Linked DNA regions of Schizosaccharomyces pombe. The protein of the gene in region 3 purifies or fractionates together with the protein of the main gene of each other region. This does not show direct contact. Each region holds a gene or a part of one and is shown on either strand. Other genes may lie near its edges.

Region 1 (7,411 bases), 3.2 Mb from region 3:
GACTTTGGAGGAACAAGAAGACGAGGAATCGAAAGAGTTTTCATCGACAAATTCGCTGACATCAAATTGTGGGACATCAGAAAGTGTGTTAAATGGTGAAGAGTTTAAAGGATACAGTTTTTCTTTGAAGGAAAATATCAAATCATTATAAGGGTTAAATGAAAAGGGAATGACCTCATCATGGACAGAAAAAAGTTTCGGTTGTTCGTTTATGACACCCAAAATTTGAACATGAGTTGGAAAGGCTGTAGAAGGAGTAAAAAAATCAATGCCAGAACATTGTGAATTTGGTTTAACAGGATATTTCTTCTCATAATTTACAAAGACAGAATTATTTGCGGATCCTTCATTTCCATTGACACAAGGCAATAATTGACGAAGTGTAATCGAATTGTTTGACAAAACAGCCAATTGTCCAGGTTTCCATTCAGAATATTTCAGTGCAAATAATTGTGGATTTTTGGGCTTTTTATTTTCGTTCCGTAAAATAATTTGTAAATAATTATCGGATTTGAAGTATCGAGTATCAAAAATCGCAATGTCACCATCATAAGAATTTGCGGCAAAATAGTTAGGAGAAAATGGATCAACAACTATATTACTATAATATTGCGTATTGACGGAAGAAACTGAGTCTAGTTGCTGCCTAGTATCAATTATATGGACAGAACGCGAAGTTGATCCGGTAAGCAAAAGAGGAGTGTCTTTCTTATAACAAACGGAAGAAACTCCGTCTAGAGTAGAAGACTGCATTAAGGGACTACTCTTCGGGTCAGACAGTAATGAATTCAAGTCCCATAACTTCAAGGAAGACTCGTTTCGAGATTTTGCAAATCCAGCAACAAGATGTTCAGTTTCAGAAAATGCCAAACTATTGCAAGGGCGAGCATATCCAGGTGTTACTACTGCTTGAAATTCTGGATGCTTAACAGAAAGCAATGATATATTTCCGGTAGAAGAACCAGCACCCAATATTTCATTGTTTCCGTGAAAAGAGTCTATACATTTAACATTTTTCAATGATCTCCAAATAATGTGAGTTTTCCAATTTACTTTAGGGGAAGCTTTGACGGCGACATATCGAATCTCATCTGAGGAGCCGTTAACCCAAAAATAACAGCCATTCCTCTTTTTACTTCTATTTAACATTCTCTAAAGAGAAATTTGACAATTAGGCTTTACCAGAAACGCCCAAAATACTGCATAAACATTAAACAGAGCTTGATCGAAGCGTTCTTCAATCTCAACCACTCGTCAAACATAACGTTTAGCACTAATTTGCTTAACGATAGCTAACAGAAATGCCTTAACAACGGACTGAAAAGAGGCTGTCAAATTCAAAGGTTTTCTTTTTGCTATTGATGATTCTCTTAACAATAGTAGTATTAAAATACAGACCGGTTGCTAGATTAACTATCTTTTGCATACTTTTTAATCTCTAGGGTGACTTCGGTGTCGAACAAGCGATTCTTTGATGTACTGTTGAAAGTCTAAGCTTTTAAATCACTCCACAAGTACAACATATAAATCTACCTTGAATAAGTGTGAGTGAATCAAATATTTTAATCATAATTACCAGCTTAAACTTATATATAAAAGTAACGTGTCACTTGAGAACCTAGCAGCTGTAAAAATTGCAGTCCTTTAAGTTTACTACTGTTCTTCACCAGAACTAATTGTTTATGGTTTGAATTTCTATTTATCTATTTTATTGAGCGTTTTAGCATGCCAAAATTTAAGGGCCCTGGACTTTCTGTGCTGAAGAAAAAAATTCGCGACAATGAGAGATTATTGAAAAAGGTGTGTAATTTTTTTGCTGGTTTAAAAACATCTGCGGTTTCAGTGTGTAATAAATATTACCTTCCTTTTTATGTTAATGAATAAGAAAACTAACTTCCTTTAAGGAGAATTTGCCTGCAAACATTCGTGTTGAACATGAACGAGCTCTTTTGGGTCTACAAGAGCAGTTGTCTATGGCACAGTTAGAGCATAAAAAGCAAAAGATTTTTGAAAGATACAAAAAAGTTCGATTTTTTGGTATGAAACATATATAAAAACAGCATTTTTTGTTCAGTGAACTTGCTTACTGATTTTCTCAGAACGTAAAAAAGCAGAACGACGTATTAAACAATTGGAAAAATCTTTGAAGGATGAAACTATGGATGATGAGAAACGCAAGCAGTGTGAGAAATCGATGCGTAAATGTCAAATTGATCTTATGTATATTAAAGTATGTTTGTATTTTCGACTTCATTTCAACTATCAACTTGGCTAAGATACTAACCTATTTAGGAATACCCCCCTTTAACAAAGTATGTTTCACTCTACGCAGAAGGCACATCTGAACAGACCGAAGAAACTCGAAATCGCATTTGGGCCGAGATGGAAGAACGCTTTAATAGTGGCAGAAAACACAAAATACCATCTTCAGGTTCCAACAGGGTTCCTGTACAGGAAAAAAGTTCAACTGGTGGTGATTTGGAAGATGAATTTTTGCAAAGATAAATGAAAACTTGGATTGAGGTTTTGGAAATAAAGGGATTAAATAGACGAAACTGTAATAATATGATTCATTCTTTTTAATAAAGGTTGTGAAGTTTCCATATGAGTTATCGAGCAAGGTATTCTTTTTATGCAAGTTTATTTAAATTTTTTCTATGTCATATTGCAATGGGATTTGCTAGGGTACCAAAAATAGAACTTGTGGGAGAGAAGCTTTTGGATCCTAAGGTTCACTGAAGATATTTTTCACATATTTCATTCTATAATCTAATATGCTAAAATTCGAATGATATTTCATGGAATATCAAATTAATAAAAATATAAATTTACAAGAATTTAAGTAAAAACAAAAAATTAGGACTTTCATTTTGTTCTGTTTTAGGTGGTCGAATTATTAGACAGTTTAATAGTCTTTATCATTGCAGCAGTGTTTTTAAGAGCTCTTAGATGGACTTTCGGTTTTATCATCACAGTACCCTGTTATTTGCCTGGCAAAAAGTTACCTAGTGGGGGTTTAAAAATCAACACCAGTATGTAGTATATACATTTTATAATAATTATTTTTACATTTGCTTCTATAGATTGGTATATTTGAATTTATGGGTTTAAGACCTCAATAATATGGTGTAGTATATTGACTTTGCGCCCTTGGTGGTGTCCACGGATACCTAACCTCCGCACCACACGAAGTTACGACTTGTTTAGTGTCGATATGGCTGAGGGCACAAGCCAAAGGCCATTAACGCCTTTGTCGCAGGCATTTTTGTCAACTAATACTCTTTCTCCTGCTTCTTCCCCTTTAACTTTCCATTCTGAGGCTGCATCTCTGCGTAGAAAACGGTCCAACTTTTTCCCCAAATTAGATGAATTAAATGGAGCTCAAGATGAAGAAATGAGAGGTCTTAATATTCCTGGAGGATCAGGATATCTCGAGAACCGATATGGTCGTGATAAGTTTACGTTTTCTGATGCAGCCGTTAACAGTGCTGGAATGGGAGGGTCTGGCATATTTTCCCACAACAATGCAGATGATGGTTTGGGTGATGGTTCTTCTACGGTTTTACCAAGTTCCCTTAAACAAATGCTGGATCCTGAAATTTCAACTGCCAATAATCCATCTGCAAAGCCTCGTCGAACTCGTCTTCAAACTGCTTGGAAAGAAGCAACTAATTCAGCAGGCCTTTCTCTCCGGTCTGCAAGTGCTTTAGATGTACTCAAAAATTCTGGACCTGCTACTACCTCATTACTTTCCTCAACAACATACCCTTTTGATAGTTTAAATGCATTCAACGAACCATCCCATTCACATGTACCAAACTCAGCTTCTAGCACTGCTCTGTCTAGAGGTATGAGCAACTCTGTAACTTTGACGGCACCCCCTGAACCTGATGAAGAGACCATTCCTACCGCGATTGTTATTAAAAATATTCCATTCTCCTTGAAGAAAGAAGTGTTGTTTAAAGTGTTCACTGCATTAGACATCCCACGTCCATACGCTTTTAATTATCATTTTGATAACGGAGTTTTTAGGGGCCTTGCCTTTGCTAATTTCCATTCTCCAGAGGAAGCCAAAACGGTTGTGCAAGTTTTGAATGGCTATGAAATTACTGGTCGTCGTCTTCGTGTTGAATGGAAGCGTCAACTACCGCCTGCGGAGCGTGAACGTGTTGAGCGTGGTAAACAAGAGAAACGCGCTGTAGAAGAACGAAAAAATCAATTGAAATCTCCGTTTTCTGTTGCCAATATAGGTGCTGGCATTGATTTTGATTTGAATGATCCAGCTATACTCAATGTATATTCTCATATCTTGTTATTTTATTATCGCAGCGATAACACTAATGATCTTGTATTTGATTCTTCAACCACCCAGGAAGAACGTCGGGTTGCTGCCTTATTAGCTTCCCGTCTCAATCTCAATCATTCAGTTACTGGTGACGGTGAAGCTAAGCAAGTGGTTATTACCATGCCTAGTACTCATTTTACTCCCGCTAATAATTCGAGTGCTAACCACTCTCCTTTGATGGCCCCAAACGCCAGTACTTTAAATCCTTCTTCTTTAGGTGCTTCCAATTTGAGCCAACCAAGTCTTGCAAATCACTTGAGCTCCTCTGGTTTATTTGACAATGGTCTTTTCTCGTCCGGTGGTCTTTCTAGTAATTTTTCAAGTCTTAGACGACCCGCTCCCTCTATGCATCTTGCGGATAGCATACGTTCTCTCAGAGGACTAAATGATTCTAAAGCCTTTTCCGACATACGTAGTATGCCAGCTACTCCGTTAGAACTTGCTACTCCTTTTGCTAATTTAAATGTTTCCTCTCCACTGGATCGCAATGCGACTAATTCATCAAATACTTTAAACGGTAGTGCGATGAACGATTATTTTGCAAGCCTTACTCCATCAAACACCGGTGCTATTGGATCCAGAACTTTTACAAAGAATTAGTCTTGGATTTTTTGTTTTTCCCTGCTTTTGATTAATCTTGTTTTGGCTATGTCTCGGGTTTTATTAAGTTTCATTTACCTTACGATAATAAGCGCTTTCAAGCAAATTTATACTTTGTACATAAAAACGACGAGTGAAATTATCTCAATGAATTATCCATTTTTACGACCTAGTGTTCAATTGAGGACATGATTTTCATGCTTATATCGTTTACATACTCACTTCGGATGTGCATGTGATCGGGCTCATGCTTTTAAACTATAATGTGATTCTTGTAAAACGAAAAGGATTTAATTTAATAGATGATATTTTTCTCTCTTCAAAGTCACGTTTATGATTATTTTGAGAGGAATAAAATGGAATTTTCTTTTGTGAGATTTTTTTAAACTTTTGTATCGCAAATCCGGTTTGACGATTCGTATACTGGGATACGATGCTTGAGCTATACAGCAAAAGTCTCAAATAAAATTTACGATAACCGATCTTACGTGGGATGTTAATGGTGTTATTTGCAATAATTTGTTGTTTTGATTGTGTTTTGTTCTTATGTGTAGGACCTTTCGTTACTATCAATACCTTTTCAATTTCTATATCTCATATGTTTTGTACGGACCCAGCTTGTTCACGTTAGTGTCACTCGGTTTTTAACTATTACGAATGATGGCTTCATTTTAATGGCTGTTTGGCTAATTGTGCCTAAATTCTTTTCCGTGTTATTGATTTGATAATGTGTTAAAGAATTCAATTTCGATTATGAGAGTTCGGTTGTCATTTGTATGATTTTTTTCGTCAAGATATGATTGCACTATTTTTTTTTTGTTATTATTATTTTTTTTCGCACTGTTTTTAGTGGATACTTGATGATTTTGTCTAAACGTATCTCGTATCTGCTGTATCGTTTAGTATTACTTTTTAAATAAGTATAGAACATTTACGACTTTTTAATTTGATAAATTGAGTTGATCTTTCTTATTTGAATAATCACGAAGAAACGGCACATTGACCATAGTCGAGCACCGCATTTTTTTTAGAGGTTTTAATGACTGTAAATCGACTAAATGAAAACGCTCCCCGTTCTTGCTCTATATGTTTTAATTTTTTAGAAGCCGTTTAGCGATAAACAATGCAATACACTATTTTTCGATATTTTTCTTCAAGAAGCTACCAAACCTATTCTTAAAATTTGGTCGCTTTTCTATTGGCTATTTGCCGGCATGTCAATCTTTATCCCATCAAAGTTCTTTCTAGAATATCAGGCAGTCACAGTATATATAATGTCTATTATAGCTAACTTATCGTCTGCCTAGCCTTGTTTGGAATTTCATTAAGCGGAAAATAGTGAAGAGTATTTCACGTATTTTAAAACCAATAATATATCTAAAAGCTGCAAGCATTTATTTTTGCAGGGACAGCTAGCTGGTTATATTCCTAACGTGTGGGTTGTATTTGCGTTAGATAACTTTACATTTCTTTATATCTCTTTTTGGGTGCATTAAAAAAAACCATTTTTTACAACTTCATTTTATTTCATTAATTAAACATAATGGTGAGCTTCCTTTCTTCCAGTGTATCTCGTCTACCTTTAAGAATTGCTGGTCGTCGAATCCCCGGCAGATTTGCCGTCCCTCAAGTTCGTACATATGCTAAAGACTTAAAATTTGGTGTTGATGCTCGCGCATCTTTACTCACCGGTGTCGATACTCTTGCTCGTGCCGTATCTGTAACTTTGGGACCAAAGGGCCGTAATGTCTTGATTGACCAACCTTTTGGTTCCCCTAAAATCACTAAGGACGGTGTAACTGTCGCCCGTAGTGTAAGTTTGAAAGATAAATTCGAAAACCTTGGTGCAAGACTAGTTCAGGATGTTGCAAGCAAGACTAATGAAGTTGCTGGTGATGGTACCACTACTGCTACTGTTTTAACTCGTGCCATCTTTTCTGAGACTGTTCGTAACGTGGCTGCCGGTTGCAACCCTATGGACCTTCGCCGGGGAATTCAACTTGCTGTTGATAACGTCGTCGAATTTTTGCAAGCCAATAAGCGTGATATTACTACTTCTGAAGAGATTTCCCAAGTCGCTACCATCTCTGCTAACGGTGACACTCATATCGGTGAGCTTCTTGCTAAAGCCATGGAACGTGTTGGTAAAGAAGGCGTTATCACCGTCAAAGAAGGGCGCACAATAAGCGACGAATTAGAGGTTACTGAGGGTATGAAGTTTGATCGTGGTTACATTTCTCCTTACTTTATTACCGATGTCAAATCACAAAAGGTTGAATTTGAAAATCCTCTTATTCTTCTTTCTGAAAAGAAAGTGTCTGCTGTCCAAGACATTCTTCCCTCTTTGGAGCTTGCCGCTCAGCAGCGTCGTCCCTTAGTTATCATCGCAGAGGACGTTGATGGTGAAGCTTTGGCTGCTTGTATCTTAAACAAGCTTCGTGGGCAATTACAAGTTGTTGCTATTAA
Region 2 (6,548 bases), on a different chromosome or scaffold from region 3:
ATAAAGAAAATCCATCTCCAAGTTGTTCTTTGACAAATTGCACCTCCAATAATAGGCCCTGCTACCAAAGCCGCACCCCAGGCAGTAGCCAGAATTCCACTATACATTGGTCTTGTGCGCAATGGGGTTATATCAGATATAATAATATTCACGAGAGAAATAATACCTCCTCCACCAAGGCCTTGAATGGCACGGCAAACGATTAGCCATATCATGTTTTGTGATGCACCACAAAGTGCACTACCCAGCATGAAAAAGAAAATGCAAATGTAAAGTACTATTTTTCTTCCAAGGATATTGCAAAATACACCGACAGCAGGAAGAACTGCGTTGGAAGCAAGGACATAGGCAGATCCAATCCATGATGAACTTGATGTATCATTAAAGTCTTCAGCTATAGTCGGCAAAGCAGTGGTGACAATTGTATTATCTAATGCAGCAAGAAACAAAGTAAGAATTAAGGCAGGAACCACTATTTTCATATTATTTTCTGGGATTAATTGTATATTGGTATCATCATCATTAGAAGCAGATTCTTGTTTAGAGAATTCAGTGGATTGCTTATGCACGTCAAGTTCATTCACTTTGTTTTCATCCGGAACTATGTCGGTTTCTTTAACTTCCTTTTCTTCATTGGAAGGATATGCTGTCAATATAAAAGGACTGGTGGTCTTTTTAAGGGATAGTCCATCTATTGAATTTTGCCCTTCAGCAGCATTTGTTTTAGAGCCGGAAAATGAGTTGTGAGATGAAGAACTAGACATTGCGTATAATTTATGCTCTTGAATAATAAAAATTTTTTAAACAAATGGCCGCTAGTTGAGATGGACGTTTTTTAGACAATTTTACAAATATTTTTAAGGGGGAGAATAAAGAAAAACAAAGACAAGTAAACAAGGAAATATCCTAATAATAAAGCACTAAAAACCCTATCCAAACGCTTATATATTCCTTATAGTCAAATTTCTCATTGTTGAGTCTTATGGTGATTAATTTGGTAAGCGGCTTGCTAGTGGTATTCAGTAAATTTTTATACAAATATGTGTCTAAGTGATTATCACGAAAATCAGACTACTAGCACAATAACATAATCCATCGAGATCTAATACAATTTAAATAAGGAGAAAAGTGAGAGATGTGACATATATTTGTATGCACACTGACAAATTGTTTTGCAGTATTTGCTTTCTCCGGTACGTCGCTCCCCCTTATAATGAACTTCTTTAGTAAGCAGGAGGAGCTTGAACGCACTTCTCAAGAGTGCATCCTTGTTGTCATTCTAGATATGGTTAAACGACAACATGCGAAATATATCAAATAGAAATTTGCGTGGAGATTCCGCGTATCTACAACAGCTTTTAGCCACGTGTCAATTACACGAACCAAGTTTGAAGTGGTAAGATTTCTAAAATGTAATAAGAAACGCAAAAGGAGGTTTTAAAAAGTAATTTTTCCTCGAAGTGTGATACTTGAGTACATTTCAAAAGAAATGGGTGTGCACGGTGAAGCCTTTAAAAGTCATCTAACGATAGTAATTAATGCTGGATGGAAATAGTTCTTAACGCTTAATATAAGTGGTTTTTATGAAATAGAATAAAAGGGAGGATCGCTGCAGCCGTCAATGTACAACAACATGGCACTTGCTTGACATTTTAACGACTCAGCGAACGTATAGTAAATAAGATTACTTCGATAATTAATAGGTGTCGGTTGAAATAACATTTCGTCTATTAGCGAATGAAGGATCGATAATAAAAGCATTCAAATATGCCTGGCATTGTACATTTCCATGATACGCCTTAAAACAAAATAGCAAGTCTGAAGTCAACAGGAACAGTATAGTAAAAAGAAATAGCAGAAAGGAAGAAAAGTTAAGCAATGCTCAAGTCTACTCGAATTTGGCTAATGGAGAGTCCAGCTGTCTACTTTTATTTATCTATACTCTTCTACAGCTGACAAGATACTCGTTTTCGGTAAGGCACAGCTAATTTAGATTACTCGTTTATCATGAGAGATAGCAAAAAAGCTAAGAACAGCTTCAATCGGCTTTTTACGTTCATACTGCTACTCAATATGTTCAGATTTATATTCCTATTAATTATTAACTGCCTTACTATTTACGCAAACAAGTAAGTATATTTTTTTTTGTGTATAGTAAAGTGTTTGCTGCTTTTCGTTGTATTTTGTTAAACAATTTGGTGTGCTACCGTGTGATGCTGCTGAAAGAGACGCTCAATTAATCCTTAGACTGAACTAGCATCTACAAGTGCAGTATTCTAAGGGGCAAATTACGGGAATTTCCTAGTCAATTTTCTCTGTTTTCACATATAACTTTTATTCCTCAGAATATATCTGGACTCGTTCCCCCGCATCTAGAATGCCTAATGAAATATTTCCCTGGAAAATTCGTGTGGATGAAAGTCGAGGATTAGCAGGTAATTCTGGGACGAAAAAATCAAATCATGAAGCATTATCAAGATTACAATCACCCTTGAATTCTCCTAAGCTACAGCCAATTGGTTCTCCTCAGGCTTCTAGGAAAACAAGCGGTTCCGGTTCGAGTGCTCCGCTGTACCCCAAATGGTCCGGTGCCCTTTCTCTTGCTAGTAGTCGTGCTGCATCGCCGGCTCCTTCTGATAGCTTTCCTACTTTTGGTTATTCTCAGCTTGGTGGGCTAGAAAATAGTTCTAAAGGTTCCGCGCTTTTTAACAGCGCCAATTCTATTGGAACTCCGTACCTCTCGTCCAGGAACTCAAATTCAGCAAATGAGGCGAGTGCTATGGCTTTCCACAATGTCTCTCCTCCTAGTGGTGCTGAATCTTCTTCAGAAAGTAAAAGCTTTTCTGCCAGTGGAAAAGGCAATAAAGCTGATACATCCGCAGAGCCTTCGTTGGATGCTTTTAACAGTACCCAAATCAAAGCAGGATCGACTGCCAATTCTAATTCAACACCGGTTGAACCCGGTGAAGATACCATTCCAACGGCTATTGTTGTGAAAAATATTCCTTTCTCGTTGGAGAAAGATACATTGTTGGATCATTTTAAGCAACTAGGTATTCCCAGACCTTATGCCTTTAATTATCACTATGACAATGGAATATTTCGAGGATTGGCTTTTGCTAATTTTTATCGTCCTGAAGAGGCTCAAGTTGTTGTGCAAACGCTTAATGGCTATGAAATTAATGGCAGACGTCTTCGTGTTGAATGGAAACGCCAATTACCAGCTGCAGAACGCGAGAAGGTGGAAAAAGCAAAGAAACGTCAAGCTGAAGAAAGACGTCGTAAACAGCAGTACAAGATGTTTGAAGTTAGCTTTACTGATCAAGGCTTAAATTTGAATGACACTGGTACCCTTGAAACTTATAGTAGACTTCTATTGTTTGCTCATCAATGCATTCCTTCTCGTGAAATAACATTTGAAACCACTTCTAAGGACGGAAACCTTCTAAATGCCATTAGAATCTTTTGCCTGTACTTTGATCTCGATTACTATGCTCGCCCGAATGGAGAGGTGTTAAAATTAGTAGTTACTCATCCGAATAAAAAGAATACGAGCGTAAGTCAGTCGCAACCTGCATCTCCAAATTTAAGATTTAATATGCCGGCACCGTTAGCTACTCGATTTTTGCAAGAGCATTCATTGAATGGTACTAAGAGTGCCCCTATAACCCCACCTCCCAGTTTCGCAGTACCATTGACAAACCAACTTCGTTCGATTGACGACAAAATTTATGGAAATGAATCACCGCTTCAAAAGGCTTCTACTTTGAGTTCACCTTTCAATTCAAAAAATGATAATGATGCTTCTACCTCCGCTTCCAAGCAGAGTTTTGGTGTCTCCCACTTTTAGAGTCTATGCAATTATAAAGAAACTGTTTATGTACCTTTTAAGATATGATTTTTGTTTACGCCAACTATAGATGCATTTACTATACGCTATTTGTTTTGACTAAATTTTGCTCTTTATCCCTTTATCACTTACTTCTGATGAATCTAAACTCTATGGGCTTCATTTTGTTGATTTTTTGTTTTCCCTTTCACATAGTTGGTTATCCAGCAAATAATCCTTTTAAATACTTAGAAGCTTATATTTTATCGTTTTGAATTCCCACGACACATTTGGACGACTCGACTTAACAGCAATCAATGATGGATATATGTTGGGTGAGGCATAATGTTTTATGACGATAATCAACGGATGAGCGATGCTCCTATTTTTTTACAAATTATAACGATTTTTCTTGTATAAGAAATTTATGCCCTACCGTATAATATACACATACTTTACATGATTAAATTTAACCTTGGACAAATACATTAGTCTGATATTACAAAATTGAACTTTTATTTTTGTAAATTTAATCATCTTCTTTATGTGGATGTGAATGTTCCTAGCTTAGTATTACCGTACTATGGATATAGAAATAAACCTACGATTTAAAGTCTATTTTCTACCAAGCTTGTAGGGCTTTAAATGAGCTACTTTAAAATTACCTAAAATATCGTTAAATTTTCCTATATAATGCGAATTGATTTATATGTAAAAAAGAAAAAGAAATTGCAAGCATGGTGGACTTTTAGTTCCATTGTTAGTAAGTTGTAATTAAAGGAAGTTACAAAGGATTCACTAAAATAAGAATACTTTATGGGTTATCGCAGCCTTACTCAATTACTGCACTTGAATGTCTATTGAATTTAAGAATGAAGAAAGGATAACACAAAGATGCACGATTCTTTTTGGATGAACTTTTATTTTTTGTTAAGGTTATGAAAAAAGATGAAATACACTTGACCTTGTAATTACTGCAGCTAGAAAAAGAAAATATTATAAAAACCAGTTTCATGAGTTATGGCTGGAAGTACCGCACAACACCATAAATATTGATAATCTGCTATATTGCCGATAATATAAAGTTAAATTAGTAGAAAAAGTAAACTAAGAAACAGAAATTTTCTTATTTTACCCATATAAACCTATGTATTAGAGGATAGCAATTGTATTTATGAGTTCGAGGGGAACAAGATCATCAACTGCTGCCGAGCAGAAAAGGCAGGAGGATGTAAATAAAGAATCAAATATGAATGATTCTGTTACTGAATGGTCTGTTTTAGAGGAAACCTTACTGTTAAAAGCTATTTGTCGTGGATTGCGCCCTGTAGGTAAGTGTTCGAAAGGTTAATTGCTCGGTCTCTTATTTTAAAAGCTGCATGTTATCAAATTATTGCATTCATTCACTAATTAAAAAATAGGAATAGAAAAAAATTTTTATATGATAGGGATTTTACGAGAAATTCGTGATGGCTGCAAAAGATCAACAATTAAGGCTCAGGACGTTTGGAATAAATTAGGAACACTTTATAATTTGAAAGAGTTTGAAGAATTGGTATGTCAAAAAGCCTTTTAATTTTTTGTTTTCAAGTATTTGTTGACAGTTTTTTAAATTAGGAAGCTCCAGGAAATGAAGAAGTTAAGGCGAAAGAAAAACGAATAAAGTCGCCAGATGTTAAAGATTTTAAATTACCAAAAGATATTCTTAAAGTAAAAGAAAAATCCGAGAAACCATTGGAAACATCTCAAAAAGTGGAGATTGAAACGGTAGAAACTAAACCCGGTGAACCCGAAGTTAAGCAGGAGACGAATTTACAGAAAGAGAAGAAGGAAAGTAAAGTCAAGCTTGAATCTAAAGAAGAGAAAATTTCTCGGAATTTACGATCCTCTTCTAGAAGTATTTCTCCTGTTACTGAACAGCCGCAAAGTCCAAAGATTCAGCCTGTTATTCCCGAAAAAAAAGAAAAGTCTGAAAAGAAAGAGAGTTCCATGACTTTGCGAAAAAGATCCGTCTCGCCATCTTCTCAAAATACAGCCCGTTCTCCAAAGCGTATGGCTACTGAGCCCATAGAGCCTGCTTCTTCACCGGCAGCTTCAAACCAAGCTATTCGCCGTAGCTCTCGAAGCCGGAGGCCTCCGACCTAGCTCTTGTTAACAGAAAAACCTAGGATGGGAAAGACTGATTATTTGTACATATCATTTATGCTTGGTCTACTCTAATGAACGGTTATTTATATATGAGACCAAAATTAATTATCACAAGGGATTTATAAAAAGTGAAAAATAAAAAGAATTATGATTTTACTACAACTAATATTTTGTATGTCAAGGAGATTTGTTTTAGCAGAATTATAGGTTTAATGGGATCGACGGCATGTCCAAAACTAATTTGCTTTTGCAGTTTTACTCCTTTTTGATGCTCGATTCACGTAATGGGAAAAGACGAACGGCTTTGTTACAAACAAATTTACTCTGATTTACCGCTACGATTTTTGAATCCCGTCACTTCTTTACTGTTCGTTACGATGTTTTATGTAGCTATATATACTGTTTGATAGCTTGACTTGCTAAAAAAAATCTTCTAACTGTGAGTTTTCAATTTTAATTCGATAGGTCCATATGTTAATGTCGATTTGGTTGGAAATATGTTTTAAAGTATGTTTAACACGCATAGACAGAGAGATTCCAATAGGTAGTATACATATTACTTTCAAATTGA
Region 3 (7,074 bases):
TACTAAAGTTTTGAATACTCAGAGGCTATAACTTTAATATGTGATAAAGCTAATGAAATCTTCTAGCAATTAATATCTATTATCTCCATAAATATCGGGTCATTATTTTTTTGTAATTCCCGGTGACTTCTTGGCACTGTTTTTCTATTTCAACAAGTCACCGATGGGCTGTAACAGCTAATTAATACTGTACAAGGATAAGAGTTCTGTAAGAAATGTAAATCTAAGTTATAGCGTTAAGTAAATTTATCGACCATGTCTTTCTTCTTTGTTTTTTTTTTATCAATTAAAAAATCCAAAGTAAATCAGGATTTGCTTTTGGTAAGGTTGTTCAACAAAGTTTTATCTAAATCAATGAAAGAATGTTTAATCTTTTCCTCTTGTTCATTAATCTCGAGTTCTTCTTCCATAAGTGATTTAATAATCTGTGAACGCTCCTCCTGCTGAAGCTTCTCAGAAGCTATTGCTTCTTTTAGCCGCTGAATTTGTTCATCCATTGTAAGAATATTAGGAAGCTTCACAGAAAGTCCATTTGTAAAAGCAGGAGATTCTCCAAAGGCACCTTTCTTGATTTGAGTATGTTCCCATGATTGGATGGGCTCTGCTATGTCTTCATCGTCCAATTCCATCTCCATATTTTTCTGGTCGACGGCCATTTGAATTGATCGTGTCCGTAAACTTTCCGAGCTATGGTGGTATATTTCTTGAAGTTTTTCTGACTCCTCCACGTAATTTTCAAATCCAGAGTAACCTTCATCTTGAATTTCGTCTTCCGTTTGAAGCAATTTCTCTTCTTTATGATTTTGTGCCAACATCAGTTGGTCCCCTGTTTCAAGTGAAATGTAATTATCCGTCATCATGGCAATGTTTCTCTTTCTTCCTTCTCGATCCTTTAACTCCTTAATCATTGCTTCCTCAGGAATGCCTTGATTAAGCATATTCCATTCCAAACTAGTATTAACGGGTAAAGGAGGTGACGATCTTGTTTGCAATTCGCTTTCTTTGGTCGAGGAATCCTCCTCCTTCTTTGTAAATTCTGATGGTGTCTGCCTACTTTTTCTCTTTAACTCATCCACATAAGCATTGGAGTATCCACTTTCATGCGAGAGAGCATCCATTCTTCGCGATATTCTTTATTAATTAGATAACTAATACTTGGACTTAAAACATTTTACTTACAAATCATCAACCGAATGAAAAGAGCTTTGCTTTTTTACCTTTGGAATCAAAGGGATTTGAGAATCCTCCCCATCGTCGTCTCCTTCCTAATCAATGTTTGTTAATATAACAGATGAATTGGTAAAACGTTTTCCAGCAAAAAACAACTTACCTCGTTCTCATATTTCACCCTAAATTTTCCCGAATTTTTTTCTTTCGCTTTTGTTTTTCTTCTATTTGCATTTTTGTCTAAGCATTGTTAGTACACTTGCGATAATAAGTTCTATTCGAGCCCAAGCACTTTTGCGCTTTTAAGTTCTTACTTGATTGAGAAACGTTTAAATTTTCTTCATGCTTTTCTTCCTCATTGTCGCTCGTTTGCACGATTTTAGGCTTCGCCTTTTTTAAGTATCGTCGCATGTTGGTAAATGGGTGCTACTTTCTAGGCAAACATATTTCTACCAATCTTTCATATTGAATAGCTATTTTTGTAAAAAAAAAATCATATAAAGTCTTAATTAAAATGATGTTTTTATGTTCTGTGAAAATTAGAAAGGGATAAACATAAATGTCTTTACTTGGGCATTTAATATTATGGCACATACTGAAGAGGTGCATCGGATAATGCAAAGCATCAGAAAAGTATTTGTTCAATTGACTTACATTTTTTTCGACTAATTTTAGAGAAATGTGTTTGAAATTCAAGTTTCAGATTTAAAACTTTTAATTGAAAAGCTACAATCGACAAGCTACCAATATCTACTACAGTCACTGGAAAATTTCCATTATATAAGTTGAAAACAAAAACAATGCTTTTAATTATTTAGAAAATCAGAAGAAAAAATAACAAAATTATTTTTTGGAAAGGACATTTTAAAATAAAACATATAAATAACTCATCGATCCAAAAAAAAGATTTGGACGTTTGAAAAACCTCAATGGAAGTTTTCATGTACATATGTGCATTAAGGAACAACAGCAATGAAAGAAAAATAAAACAATCATAAATAAAACAATCCTTGGCACAAATAATATTCAACAGTTATAAAAAACATCACAAGAGAGATTTAACATACAAGAATAAAAACAAAACAAAATAAAAAAAATCACGAGAGCACCCTTCAGTTCTTTAAGACATTAAACTAACTTGATCAGGAGCCCTCGAAAACTTATACGGATGCCTTTGAAAAACGAAAATAAATAAAAAATTAAAACAAAAACATTAGAAATAAAACAAGAATATTCGGGAAATCCCTTCACTTAAGAAGAGAAGTGGAAGAAACAAATAGTAGTAGTAGTAATGCATTTCAAACATCATAAAAATAATTTATGAATCGCGTGACAAGCGTAGAGAAGGTTGCAAGTATTGACCAGTACAATTAAATGTAGAATAAGAACGAGGAGGCAAGCGACCTCTCAAGTTCAAACCAAAGCCGGATTTCTCCAAACCGTTTTCATTTTGCTCCAACTCATGACGGAGATCAATTAGTGAAGACTGACGCTCCCTTCCTAGGTTCCAAGGCCTAGAAGCTCTCGCTTGAAATGCTGAACCATTCAAAGAAGCAGGTTGCTCATCATCAACCAACTTTAAGGAGGAAACACGTGTTAATAAATCTTGAGTAGCAAAGGAGTTATGATTGTTGCCGGAAAAAGGCTGCAACCATTCGGGGAGCTTCACACTAGGCTGGACCTTTGCAGAACCATTAATTTTTGAGGATTGCAAAACAGAAGACTGAGGATACACCTGTCCGCCTACCAAGCCAGTGGCAGCTGAAGGGAAATGGGAAGAAAGAGGTGTCAAACCTGAGCCACTACCGGACAACGTAGGAGAAATGGAGGCTGAACGAGACAAAGGAGGTGGAGAAATGGTTGAAAAATTTACGGAGTTCATGCCATTGATTGAGGAAACAACGGAGTTTGGCAACAAAGATTGCGCAGCAGCAGTACGAGGTGAAACAGGTGCACTCTTCAAGCTAGAGCCGGATGAGTTTGAGCTGCCAGAGTTTGCTCCAATGACAGATTGATTCATACCGAAAATTTGGTTAGCGGAAAGAGTTCTGTCGAAGCCCTCATCTGAAACTTGGGATTGAGATTGAGACAAGGCAGATACAGGAAGCGTATTATGACCCCACGCGAGGCGGATATGAGAAGTACCAACTAAGGCACCCTGCATAGTGTTTATGGCCTTTTCAGCAGCAGATTTTTCACTGTACTGGACAAAGCCACATCCCTTGCCAAAGGGAATCTTGATGTTCAAAATTCTTCCAAAGGGCTGAAAGCAAACTTGCAAATCTTTCTCGGATAAATTGCTAGCCAAGCCACCGACAAACACCGTAGTGTTCAAAGGATCCATGCTACAAAGATCTTGATTAGGCTGGCGGTTAGAAGTAGAAGTAGGAACGATACCAAGGGCAGAATCGGCGGCGATGGAGGCTCTAGACTTTGGTGAAGCGACAGAGATGCGTAAGGGGCGACCTTGACACAAATAGCCCTGCATATGCATCAAGGCATGTTGTTGTTCTTTCTCACTTGAAAAGCGAACAAAGCCATATTTCCTGCTGAGACCGGTAACGGGATCGACAATGATCTTGGCTGAGGTACATGAGGGATATATGGAACGGAAAGTCATAAAAAGATCCGAATCCTCGGTAGTGGGAAGAAGGTCGCCAACGAAGATACTAAACTCAGGATCACGGGAAACAAAGTTGTTATGTTGAATGCCGCCACCAGTAGCCCAGTTAAGCTTGAAGGTACAGTGAGCACCAGGAATCATGGTGTTATTATACTTCATCAAAGCACGCTCAGCAGCTGCAGAAGAGGAAAACTGAACGAAGCAATAGCTGATAAGCGTTTCCGAAGAGGATGCTTTGGAGCGCATGACTTTAACGTTGACAGGTTCGTTGAGGGAAGCCCAGAGCTGTTGAATAAAAGTAGCGTCCATCCAAGGTTCCAGGTCACCCATCCATAAGGTGTCGCTCATTTTCGAGCCAACACCTGCTACATCTTGAAGTGGAGTGGAGCTAGGAGAACAGTTGAAAGGAGCCACAAGTCTCTCCAAAGTAGGAGAAACTAACTCTGATTTGCCCTCATCAACCACAGGGGAAATGGGGGCATTGACATCTGAATTAGAAGCTGACATTTTCGAGGTTGCTGGAATAGACGAATGCAAAGGGACGAAGGAAGTATCAAACAATGAAGAACGGCGATAAAGGCAGTCAATAGACATTTAAATAGATATCCAAAAAAAAGTAAAAGAAAGTAAGTAATATGAATGAACAACAAAGTTTCAATGAGACACAAAAGTCAAAAAACGTAACCAGTATAAGACAATGGGTGGTAGAATCTTTCAACGATGAACAAAATAAAGCTTAGCTTATAACGTACAGACAAATAAATCAAGGACGAAAAAGCGAGAGGTCTAAGAACTCTTGAGATGAAGAAATGCTAATAGAACAATCAAGAACAATTTAATAAAAAAAAAAAGAGAAATTTTTTTTGCTTGCGTAAAGTGTAACGGTAAGAGCAAAAAAAAAAAGATTCAGGAATAAAAGAAGTACTAAAACAAAGTGTTACAAAGATCGAGTATTAAAGAGGATTGGAAGAATAAAAATCAAAATCGATCTGAAATAAAAGGAAATTAATAAATGAGATGGTTTCGCGGTAAAAAGCTTGTTGAAGTGAAAATATAAAAAAAAAACACAGAAACAAAGTTATTCGATTGTTGATGAGACAAAAAGCGAAAATACAATCCTTAATGAGGCGTGAAAGAAAAATTCGTTAAAATCACTGAATGGGTACACGAAAAAGAAAACCTGATGGTTGTGATGAAGCAGGGTTCTTCAGTTTTTATTTTAAAAATAATAAAACAAGTAATACAATGTACGAAAGAAAAAGGAAACAACGATGAACAAGGTCTCTTCTGAAAATTATTAGGTATGAAGAATAAAAAAAAGAAAAAGAAACCAAAGGTTGGAAGAGAGAAAATAAAGAAAAGGAAAAAAGAAAATCGAGTCGAGTTAATCAATCACAGAAAGAGAAGAAGAAAAGAAAATAAAATAAAATAAAAATATATATATATGTGCAATAAAAAACGAAGGAACCTGACAGGGGGGACAGAAGTGTTTTCTTTGATGAAGTTAAAGAACAACAGCAACAATGACAAATATATATATATATATTATATTATATTATATATTATATAAATATAATATATATACAATGCAGGAAAAAGAGGTGTCCGTATATTATAGGTTTATATATATATACTGTGCAGTATATGTATGTTATAATATATAAAGAACAAACGAATCCTTTTGATATCGAGTAGTCCTTTTTTTCGCTAGTGATATAGCTAAATAGGAGGATACGGTATGCGAGGAAGTAAAAGGGAAAATTTTCCTTCTCGAGAAAGGTAGAGTTTGAAAGAGACGAGAAGAAGAATGGAAAAAAGATACCAAAAGCAGTCAGTAATATATAACCAAGTAAGGAATCTGCAAAAAGGTACGGAAAATTTAGAGGGAACGATAGAGTAGGGAAGAGGAGAAATCGTTCAATAGGGGAAAAAGAAGAAAAATGAAAAAAAAAGTGGTGATAGGATAGAACGCTGGAATGCTAGAGGAATTCGGTAAAATACAAATAAATAAGTCACGCAGCGAAAAAGAGAAAAAAAAAGTACAACCGGTTCCGAATGCAAAGCGAAGCAAAGCAAAGTAAAGGAAAGAAAGGATGAACCGTTGGGAGACGAGTGAAAAGTAAAAGTGAATGGGAGAGAGTAGGAGCGTGTCCAGACTAGGCAAGCACTTTAAATAGCGAGACCTTAAAAACGTATACACACAACAAGGGGGGTACGGTGTGTAATAAACACAAATGAAGTATGGGCTATGCAATCAGCTAGGCAACACAAGACAAGCAAGGCGAGGGAAAGTGGCGAAATCCCAAGAGAGCAATAAGGATGCGTAGCGAGGAAAAAAAGCGAGACAGCGATGCGCACCGGTACCGAAAACCAAAGTCCGAAAAATGGATGTAAGATTTACGAGGTTAAGAATCGAAAGAGGACAAGGGAGAGAGACAGAGAGAGCACAAGGCAGTAGAGAGAGTATGTGCGTGAGAGAGAGAAAATCAGGTAAGGATTGATGTGGGAGGATGGTGAGCGAAAAAAAAAAGCAAACCACCGAGAAATGGGTCTAGAAAAGAAACCGTTGCAAAGGAAAGAAAAGGAAATCGAATGAAATCGATTGAATGAATAGGAAACTTGGCTGGACTTTTTAAATAGTTAGCCGAGTGTTGCTAAAAGCGGTGAATGATGTGAAAGTGAGAAAGCGAATAAAAGAATAAAAAAGAAAAGGATGAAGAAAAGTGCAAGACTTTTCTTGGGGGGTTTGTTGATAAGGCAGTGTGTGATGGAATGGAAAGAGAGGGAGAAAAGTGCTTTGTTTGAAAGATAAGTAAACGAAGCAACAAACAAAACAAACTAAACTAACCGAACCGAGCAAAAGAAAAAAAAAATTACACAACAACCACAAAAAGTAAAGACACTAGGAGAGAGTAGCAAAAGCTTACAAAAACAAGTGGTTGAAAAAAGGAAGAAGACAAGAGTAAATTAGAATATACTGGATAGGCAAAAAAAAAAGAAAAACTCCCTAAAAAAAACACACAAGGGGTATTAAACGAAGTTTGTATGTATGTAGTGAAACAAAAAAAAAAAAGGAAGAAAACCGAGAAAAGCGGCGTTAACGGTGTTACGGAATTAACGGGGCGTTTGACGGTAATGAAAGTAAGTAGTAATAGTAGTACCAGTAATAGTAATAGTACTAGTAGTAGTAAAAAGGTAAGTGAATAAGAACCGGTTTAAAAAAAAATAGGAAAACAATACGATTCAACAAACACACGGCAAAGAAGCAATTTTACGGAATGAGG

What was found.
Region 1: the proteins of csx1 (region 3) and cip2 purify together in Schizosaccharomyces pombe (affinity purification with mass spectrometry, with the first as the bait; one study listed by BioGRID). This does not show direct contact.
Region 2: the proteins of csx1 (region 3) and cip1 purify together in Schizosaccharomyces pombe (affinity purification with mass spectrometry, with the first as the bait; one study listed by BioGRID). This does not show direct contact.

What each region holds. Positions count from the first base shown.
Region 1 is NC_003424.3:340,933-348,343, reverse strand, and holds cip2 (RNA-binding protein Cip2), read left to right. Parts: upstream 1-3,172; 5' UTR 3,173-3,214; coding exon 3,215-4,945; 3' UTR 4,946-6,254; downstream 6,255-7,411. Other genes in the region: GATOR2-SEACAT complex ubiquitin-protein ligase E3 subunit Sea4, read right to left, coding at 1-1,149; efg1 (rRNA-processing protein), read left to right, coding at 1,726-1,800, 1,905-2,037, 2,100-2,230, 2,293-2,505; protein Mcp60, read left to right, coding at 6,489-7,411. UniProt on the Schizosaccharomyces pombe protein: Regulates global gene expression after oxidative stress. Interacts and stabilizes mRNAs and may regulate their transition between different cytoplasmic components after oxidative stress.
Region 2 is NC_003423.3:4,259,775-4,266,322, reverse strand, and holds cip1 (RNA-binding protein Cip1), read left to right. Parts: upstream 1-2,245; 5' UTR 2,246-2,377; coding exon 2,378-3,850; 3' UTR 3,851-4,505; downstream 4,506-6,548. Other genes in the region: SPOM_SPBC16A3.17C (transporter), read right to left, coding at 1-764; NuA4 histone acetyltransferase complex subunit Eaf7, read left to right, coding at 5,004-5,160, 5,251-5,384, 5,447-5,974. UniProt on the Schizosaccharomyces pombe protein: Regulates global gene expression after oxidative stress. Interacts and stabilizes mRNAs and may regulate their transition between different cytoplasmic components after oxidative stress.
Region 3 is NC_003424.3:3,567,962-3,575,035, forward strand, and holds csx1 (RNA-binding protein Csx1), read right to left. Parts: upstream 4,385-7,074; coding exon 2,486-4,384; 3' UTR 2,046-2,485; downstream 1-2,045. Other genes in the region: spliceosome complex disassembly protein Ntr2, read right to left, coding at 306-1,131, 1,180-1,265, 1,331-1,407, 1,482-1,578; SPOM_SPAC17A2.10C (uncharacterized protein), read right to left, coding at 7,034-7,074. UniProt on the Schizosaccharomyces pombe protein: Regulates global gene expression after oxidative stress. Interacts and stabilizes atf1 and pcr1 mRNAs after oxidative stress, thus controlling their turnover.